Ovis aries: one gene and its partner. The protein of the gene in region 1 binds, or shares a complex with, the protein of each later gene. Links are inferred from orthologs where the notes say so. Each region holds a gene or a part of one and is shown in the gene's direction. Other genes may lie near its edges.

What was found. The genes of interacting proteins can lie anywhere in the genome.
Region 2: CAPZB (region 1) and CAPZA3 share a complex: the UniProt entries of both Homo sapiens proteins name them as parts of the WASH complex. The link is inferred for Ovis aries from reciprocal best matches to the Homo sapiens genes CAPZB and CAPZA3.

Annotation. Positions count from the first base shown.
Region 1 is NC_056055.1:247,014,151-247,017,661, forward strand, and holds part of CAPZB (F-actin-capping protein subunit beta), read left to right. Parts: intron 1-42; coding exon 43-184; intron 185-510; coding exon 511-627; intron 628-3,511. UniProt on the Homo sapiens protein: F-actin-capping proteins bind in a Ca(2+)-independent manner to the fast growing ends of actin filaments (barbed end) thereby blocking the exchange of subunits at these ends.
Region 2 is NC_056056.1:196,880,670-196,884,782, reverse strand, and holds CAPZA3 (F-actin-capping protein subunit alpha-3), read left to right. Parts: upstream 1-1,308; 5' UTR 1,309-2,764; coding exon 2,765-3,664; downstream 3,665-4,113. Other genes in the region: PLCZ1 (1-phosphatidylinositol 4,5-bisphosphate phosphodiesterase zeta-1), read right to left, coding at 701-811. UniProt on the Homo sapiens protein: F-actin-capping proteins bind in a Ca(2+)-independent manner to the fast growing ends of actin filaments (barbed end) thereby blocking the exchange of subunits at these ends.

The DNA of each region.
Region 1 (3,511 bases):
ATGGGCTTAACATTTAACAAGATGTGGGCCTGTTTCCTGCAGGTATTTTGAAGGTGGTGTCTCATCTGTCTACCTCTGGGACCTGGATCATGGTTTTGCTGGAGTGATCCTCATAAAGAAGGCTGGGGATGGCTCAAAGAAGATCAAGGGCTGCTGGGACTCCATCCACGTGGTGGAAGTGCAGGTGAGGCTCCCCCGCGGCTGCCCTGGGGGTGCTGAGTGAAGAGGGGGTGCTGTGATGTGTGAACCTGCTGCTTCCTGCAAGTGCCTACGGCCACGTGGACAGAGGCAAGGCGGGAGTGCAGTCGTCGCGGATGAAAAAGATCCCAGGGGGACTGGGGTACACGATTGCAGATTCAGCCCTAAATTTAAAAGCCGTTTGGGGTCTTTAGAAGGTCACATCACGGTGAGGCCTTAGGAAGGGAAGGCTCTAATGACCTGAATTCAGGGGCCCCTTGGGGCTCAGCTCAGGGCCACACGCGAGGTTCTGATCTCTGTCTCGTCCTGCAGGAGAAGTCCAGTGGTCGCACCGCCCACTACAAGCTGACCTCCACGGTGATGCTGTGGCTGCAAACCAACAAATCCGGCTCTGGCACCATGAACCTCGGAGGCAGCCTTACCAGACAGGTAGAGTGAGTGGGCAGTGCCCGGGCCAGCCCCAGCGCTGGCTGTGTGTGGAGATGCGTGGGCAGCCGCCCCCACAGGGTCCAGGGGCGGCCTCTGTGACTAATGGGGTCCCCCCGCAGGCCTGTGGGTGATTGCTGAGACTCAGTCACGGGAGATTTTTTTCCCCTTGGGTCAAGGTATTTGTGGTAAGATGCTCCTGTGATATTTGGGACATGCTGATGGTTACATTTTCGAATGGATTCATTTCTTAATTGTGACTTCTGCCCGCAGGTGGCAGAAGTAAAAACCAGCTTAAGCAAAAACGGGAACAAGTCAGCTCACGTACTTGTGCAGTCCCGTCGTCGTCCAGCCCAGCGGGGTCTAAGACACACGTGATGTGGGCGGGACCCCGAATCTCTGCATGGGGGCGCCTGGCGGCCTCTGGCCATCCTGGGGGAGAGCGTCTCCCTGCTGGCTCGGGCTGCTTGTCCAGAACAGAATCACTTCCAGGGGCCGGGGTCACGTGACTACCCATGGGTGGAGTTAGACGAACAGGGGGAGTCAGTTTCCTGAAGTGAAACCGGGCAGCTTTTCATAGTTTTGCGGGGGGTCGGTGTGGGCAGCGTGAGCAGTGCTGGCGGCCAGGCGGTCTGAGCACCAGGCCTCTGGGGGGTGGCCGTCAGAGTCCCCAGAAGGAGAGAAGCTGCTGAGCTGGAAGCTGCAGGGCTTCAGAAGGAGGAGGAGAGCCTGCTTCAGTCTCCGAACCAGTTACCAGCCTCCCCCCGCAGCTGCCTCGTGGTCACATCTCCTCTCTGCTCCGCTCCGGCCCCCCCACCCGCAGCAGTGCCCCAGGGACACGGGGTCACAAGGGAATGACAGTCAGCAGCATCGTCCACTCCAAGCCCAAGCAGGGCACTCTCCAGACCTCAGAGTGTCTGTTCATCTCATTCTGAAAAAAAACGAGCGTGTCTGGCTAAAGCAGTCCACAGCCTGTGTGAGGCACAGCGTCTGCACGTTAGAGGAGTTCAGAGGGCATCTCCCAACCCGACAGGACACCCTGTGCCGCCCTCCTTGGTGGCACCCCGGGGCGCGCGGCCCTGGGGGTAGCCCACTTCCTTCATGTCAGCCTCTGCAGGAAGTGGCATCAGGAGAGAACCTGCTCTCCAGGGTGGGTCCCCTCCTGCTTGGCGGGCGCCCCGCAGGCGTGCGGTTGGCTGGGCTGGCGCCCCTGCTCCCGCCTCTTTCCCGTGAACTATTGACGGTCCAGGGATTTCCCGTTCTGTTTCTGTGTGGTTGATCTTGCTTGAAACAAGGTTTTCCCTGTGGACCCGCGTTCTGGACTCTGTCCCTTCTGCCCATGACAGATAGGTTGTGTCTCGGTTCCCATCATCCCTGGGTTCGTTGTTCCTTCCGGCTTTGTTCCCACACATTAACTCAGATGAATGAGTCTGTCTTCGTAGTCATTCGCAGCCAAGCTCAGAGCTCTCTGGGATGGCTGTCAGAGACTTCCGTAGAGGAAGTTGTGGGGCGCTGGTCTTTAGGGTGAGCTGGTTCGGTTCTCATTCACCACCTAAGCAGACTTCACATTTCCACACAGATGCTGTTTGAGCTACCTGTGGCTGAATGCCGCCTGCCGTTTCCCAGCCGGCTCCCGGCCGTGCTGGGACCAGGTGGCTGCAGGCTTGGCCTCACCCTCCTCATCCTCAGGACTCAGCGCGTCCCTGCACCTCAGGCTCCTTGGATGTTGCGAGAAGCCTTGCTCTGCTCTGTTCCCTGTCGCTGTGGCCCTGCAAGCCTGGCGGGGCAGGCAGGCTCGCCCAGAGGCTCGTCCTCTGCAGCTCGGTGGCACCTTTCTGCCCGCAGTCCAGTGTAGGAGGGCCCTGCATCAGCGCCGTGGACCGCAGAGCTGGTCACAGATCCAGAGAGCGAGGGCCCCGCCCTGACCTACCAAATTGAGACCCCCATTTCATAAAAGTCTCCAAGTAATTTACGTGCCCATTAACATTTGACAGACGCTACTTTTCTGGGTTCCACACCCAGTGCCATCTTGGCAGGGGTGGGGGTGACGCCCCATGCCACCAACAACCATTGTGCGACCCCAGGAGAGTGTCCTGCACATCACTCTACCTGGAGACAGTGCCAGGCTGCGCATCCTGGGCTCAGTCCCAAACGGCAGCCTGCCCGCCCCCCCGAGACACACCTGCGCTTCTGAGCTACTGGCTACACATCAGAGGTTCCCACGACCCTTCCTTGGGGTCCATTAATTTATTAGAGCTGCTCACCGAACCCAGAAAAACCCGTTTACTGATTAGCCTGCAGGTTTATTGCAGCAGACTCTTAAACATTTCAGATCAACAGCCAGATGAAGAGATCCACACGGTGAGGTCTGAAGCAAGGCCTGCTGTCCTGATGGAGTTTTGGGGCCCTGCATGGTGGCACCTGGAAGTCAGTTGGTTTCTCAGCCTGGAAGCTCTCTGATTCCCATCTTTTGTGGGGTTTCACGGAGACTTCCTTGGGCTTCCCTGGTGACTCAGACGGTAAAGAATCTGCCTGCAATGCGGGAGACCAGGGTTTGATCCCTGGGTCGGGAAGATCCTAGAGAAGGAAATGACAATCCACGCCAGTATTCTTGCCAGGAGACTTCCACGGACAGAGGAGCCTGAGGGCTGCAGTCCATGGCGTCACAAAGAGTCTGATACGACTGAGCAGCTCACACACACACAGAGACTCCCTGACAAAGGCGTGATTAACTCACGGGTGATTGATTTGACCTCCAGCCCTTCTCCCCCGACTGCCTGGAAACCAGGAGAGGGACTAAAGTCCCACCCCTCCATTTGTGATTGGTGCCCCTGGTGACCAGGCCCCATCCTGAAGTGGTTTCCAAAACTCACCGTGTTCACAGAAA
Region 2 (4,113 bases), on another chromosome or scaffold:
TCTAGTATTCTTGCCTGATTCACCAAGAAATTTGCCATCTTCCTAGTTAAAAAAAAAAAAAACTCAGCTCTAACACACAGCTTTTTCTTTTTTTCATGATCTTTCCATTCATCCTCTAGTGACAGAATTGAGCCAGGTTCCCTTCCTACTAATTCTTCTTAAAACAAAGGGAAGTGAAAAGTCACTCAGTTATGTCTGACTCTTTGCAACCCCATGGACTATATAGTGGAGTCTCCAGGCCAAAATACTAGAGTTGGTAGCCTTTCCCTTCTTCAGGGGAACTTACGGTATAATTCCTTGAAGATGAGTAAAATATGATTTTTCTCAAGATTGCCCATGCCTTCTATAAATCACTAACATCTAATTCAGTTACCATTTCATCATTTATATGATTTGAACTAATCAGATGACAAATCTTAATCTGTTGTGAACATCTATGCATTCTCAGCAGATTGTTCTAAGCAGATAACTTGGTATTATTTCAAATTTTATCAACAACTCTTGATAAAATTTCCTCTTACCTAAATGCTTTCCATTTTGATTATGAATATATCTAACATAATTAATTGCTTTAATTTCTAAGAGACTAATCTTTCACATGTATTTTCTGCAGAAAACATACAAGTAGCTATCCACATTTCCTTATATTGGATGAAGTCCTTCCTAGGGTGGGATATGCAGGGGACGGATATTATCTCACCTTAAAAATATATTTCACATGAATAGTATTGCACTGAATACCTAATTTTTCAAGTAGTTTCAGAGCTTTTTCTAGGGTAATTTTTCCACCTTTGAAGTCATCTCGAACCATCAACAAAAACCATGTAGGAGACACACCAAAAAAAGAAGTTAAGGAAATTCTCACAGAAAGTCATTAAGTACTTAAAATGACTAAGAATATTTTGTCTCTCTTCAATGTTTTTCTTTTCAGAAGATAGTCTATCTCATGCCTAAGTGAGAAAATAATTTTATGATAAATAATATTTAAAACAAAATTAAGTAGGTACTATTTAGTGCTAAAGGTATGAAAGGACTTAATAAAATAAGAATTATAGGAAGAGAATAAAAATTAACATTTGAGAAATATAGCTATTACTTGGGAAATACAATCTATTTTCTGAAGACATGAACACCAAGATCTTTCTATCACATGATCTCTCTCAAGATTAGTTTCCTCATCTGAAAAGTGGTCAAATTAATACTTTAGGAAGGTAGGGGCATTAAATGAGCTCATAATATATCATTCAACATAGTTTCTGTTACTGAGATTTCAATAAATAATAACCATGTCTGATATGATTATTACCATTATACTAGCCAAATGTCCAGCTACTCACATGCCTCCAAAAGCAACATTTTAAGGACCATCAGAAAGAGGGGGTTTTTTTGTTGTTGTTTTTTTTTTCTAATGCCATGGTGAGTGTCTAATTAGTATGAAGGAGAAAACAAAAATAATCAAGCTTGCTTCATCTACAGAGAAACAACAAAATTTAGGACACTTCAAATTGAAAAAAAATAAGATTGAGAAGGATTAATATGACAGTCTATAAAATCATGAAAAGTACCGGTAAAAATTGTTCAACAATACACTCAATTTCAAATTGTTAGAACTAATGGGAAGCCCTTCAATTTAATGGCTGTGACTTAATATGGCAAAGCTCATGTTACAAGAAAAAGATACAGGAAGCTAGGGAAATTAAAAAAAAAAAAAAACTCAGGATGCAAAAAGGAGGAAGCAGTTTACACTCAAATGGGAGAAACAAGCTCAGGAGTCTTCAAAGGGGGATAAGTCAAGAGAAAGGAAAGAGGAACAGAAAGGACTTCTGAGTGGATATTTGTTCTCCATATTTTCATGACCTGAAGTTTCGTTTCTCCTCACTTAGAAGCTTCTCCCCATTATGAGTTGTCACAGGTTCCAAATATAATTAACTCCGCCCATTGGCAAGAAAGGGATTCCTTGAAACTCATCCGCTGTTACCACTGCCCCTTTTCTAGAAAGAAAGCAGAAAACACAGTGGTTTGTTGCCTTTGTTCTTTGCAGTTAGCGCAACACTTAAATCCCCCAGAGACTGTATGGAGGTTTGTGGTCTCTGTACTTCACTGCCCTTAAAATTTTTCTGGCTTCTTGCTTATGTTCTGACCATTTCCAAACCCACAATGTTTATAAGAGAGGCAACCCTTGCCGTCTGGCATTTTCCCATGAACAGCCATCGTCTCTCATTTTATTTTTACTATTTTGTTTAAACCCCTCAAACCTTTCAGGATAACATGCTTCCACTGGGTTTGGACAGTTATTCTGACGGCCTGATTGCAAATCACTGCCATTGTGGTCCCCAAAGGGTCAAAGAGCTTCCAAATACTCCCTAGAAACTCTGGGTTGCTTATCATAGATCTACGACCACCTATGGAATAAACACACCACTTTATGAAGAAGGCTGTTCTGGAGGCTAAGTTCTTAAAAAATCTTCAAAATTCGTATCGCTGGTTGGCTGGGCACCACGCTGTCAGGTGACTGTCATGTTTTCCTTTGGGTCCAAACACCCATTGTGATCTCATCAAAAGTTCCATACTTCACAGAGCAAGCTCCTCTATGACTTCATCAGGAGACTCAGAGCTGGCCAGACAACCTGTTTTTGGCATGGTCAGACATGGTAATCTTAAGCTTGAATGTTTAACACCTGGATGGGAAAGGCGCCCCATGGAATGTTCTCTCATCCTCTGAACACTGTTCATTCCAGAAGCTCTGCTTCTGCCACAACCAAACATGTCACGTAGCACTCTGAGTAGGAAAGAGAAAGAAAAAGTAATTCGCAGACTACTGATACAGGCTCCTCCAGGGGAATTTGTAAATGCCTTTGATGATCTCTGTCTGCTTATCCGTGATGAAAAACTCATGCACCATCAAGGGGAGTGTGCGGGCCACCAACACTGCCAAAAATATTCTGTCCCACTCAGCATCGATGGGAATGCTGTCCTCCTGTCTCACCACAATGTTGTGGGCGACTACAGGTTTTTCGACTACCAGAGCAAACTTTCTTTCAAATTTGATCTGCTTCAAAACCAGTTAAAGGACATCCAGAGTCATGGAATCATTTGGAATGAGACGGAGTACCTGAGGGCTGTAGTTCTGTGCGCCTTGAAGCTCTATGTGAACGACCACTACCCAAAGGGAAACTGCAACGTGCTGAGAAAAACAGTGAAAAATAAGGAGTTCTTGATCGCCTGCATCGAAGACCACAGCTATGAAACAACAGACTACTGGAATGGGCTTTGGAAATCAAAATGGATTTTCCAAGTCAATCCATTTCTAACCCAGGTAACAGGGAGAATTTTTGTGCAAGCTCACTACTTCAGGTGTGTCAACCTACATGTCGAAATCTCGAAGGACCTGAAAGAAAGCTTGGAGGTAGTGAACCAAGCTCAGCTGGCCCTAAGTTTCGCAAGGCTTGTGGAAGAGCAAGAGAATAAATTTCAAGCTGCAGTGTTGGAAGAACTACAGGAGTTATCGAATGAAGCTCTGAGAAGAATTCTACGAAGAGATCTTCCAGTGACCCGTACTCATATTGACTGGCAGAGGATACTCTCTGACTTGAATCTGGTGATGTATCCTAAATTAGGGTATGTCATTTATTCAAGGAGTGTGCTATGCAACTGGATAATATAAAGGATTGCTCCTGGTAACTGTCTTGATCTGATTCAGTTGTGTTTCCGGGGATGGGGGGTGGGGGAGGCACTGAGGTTATTCTCCTAAAGTTGAGAAGCCACCAGATATGTCCATCACTTGGCAGATGTAAATTTGGGGGCGATTTTTGGTTTTACTTTTTTTAGCGGGGGCACATCACACAGTCTGTAGGAACTTGTTTCCCCAGCCTAGGACTGAACCCGAGCCTTCAGCAGTTGAAAGCAGAGTCCTGACCACTGGACTGCCAAGGAATTTCAGATGAAAGTTTAAATTAGGGACAAGTCTTCCAAATCATTTTATTCAAGGAATATTTACCAGTAACTCAAGGAAAGGGTGATGGTAATGTGTTTCATGGTAGTGACAATCATAAAGCCAGAAACATTTATTAGAAACTAAAATGACTTTGTAGAATGTGGCATCCCAGAAGTATT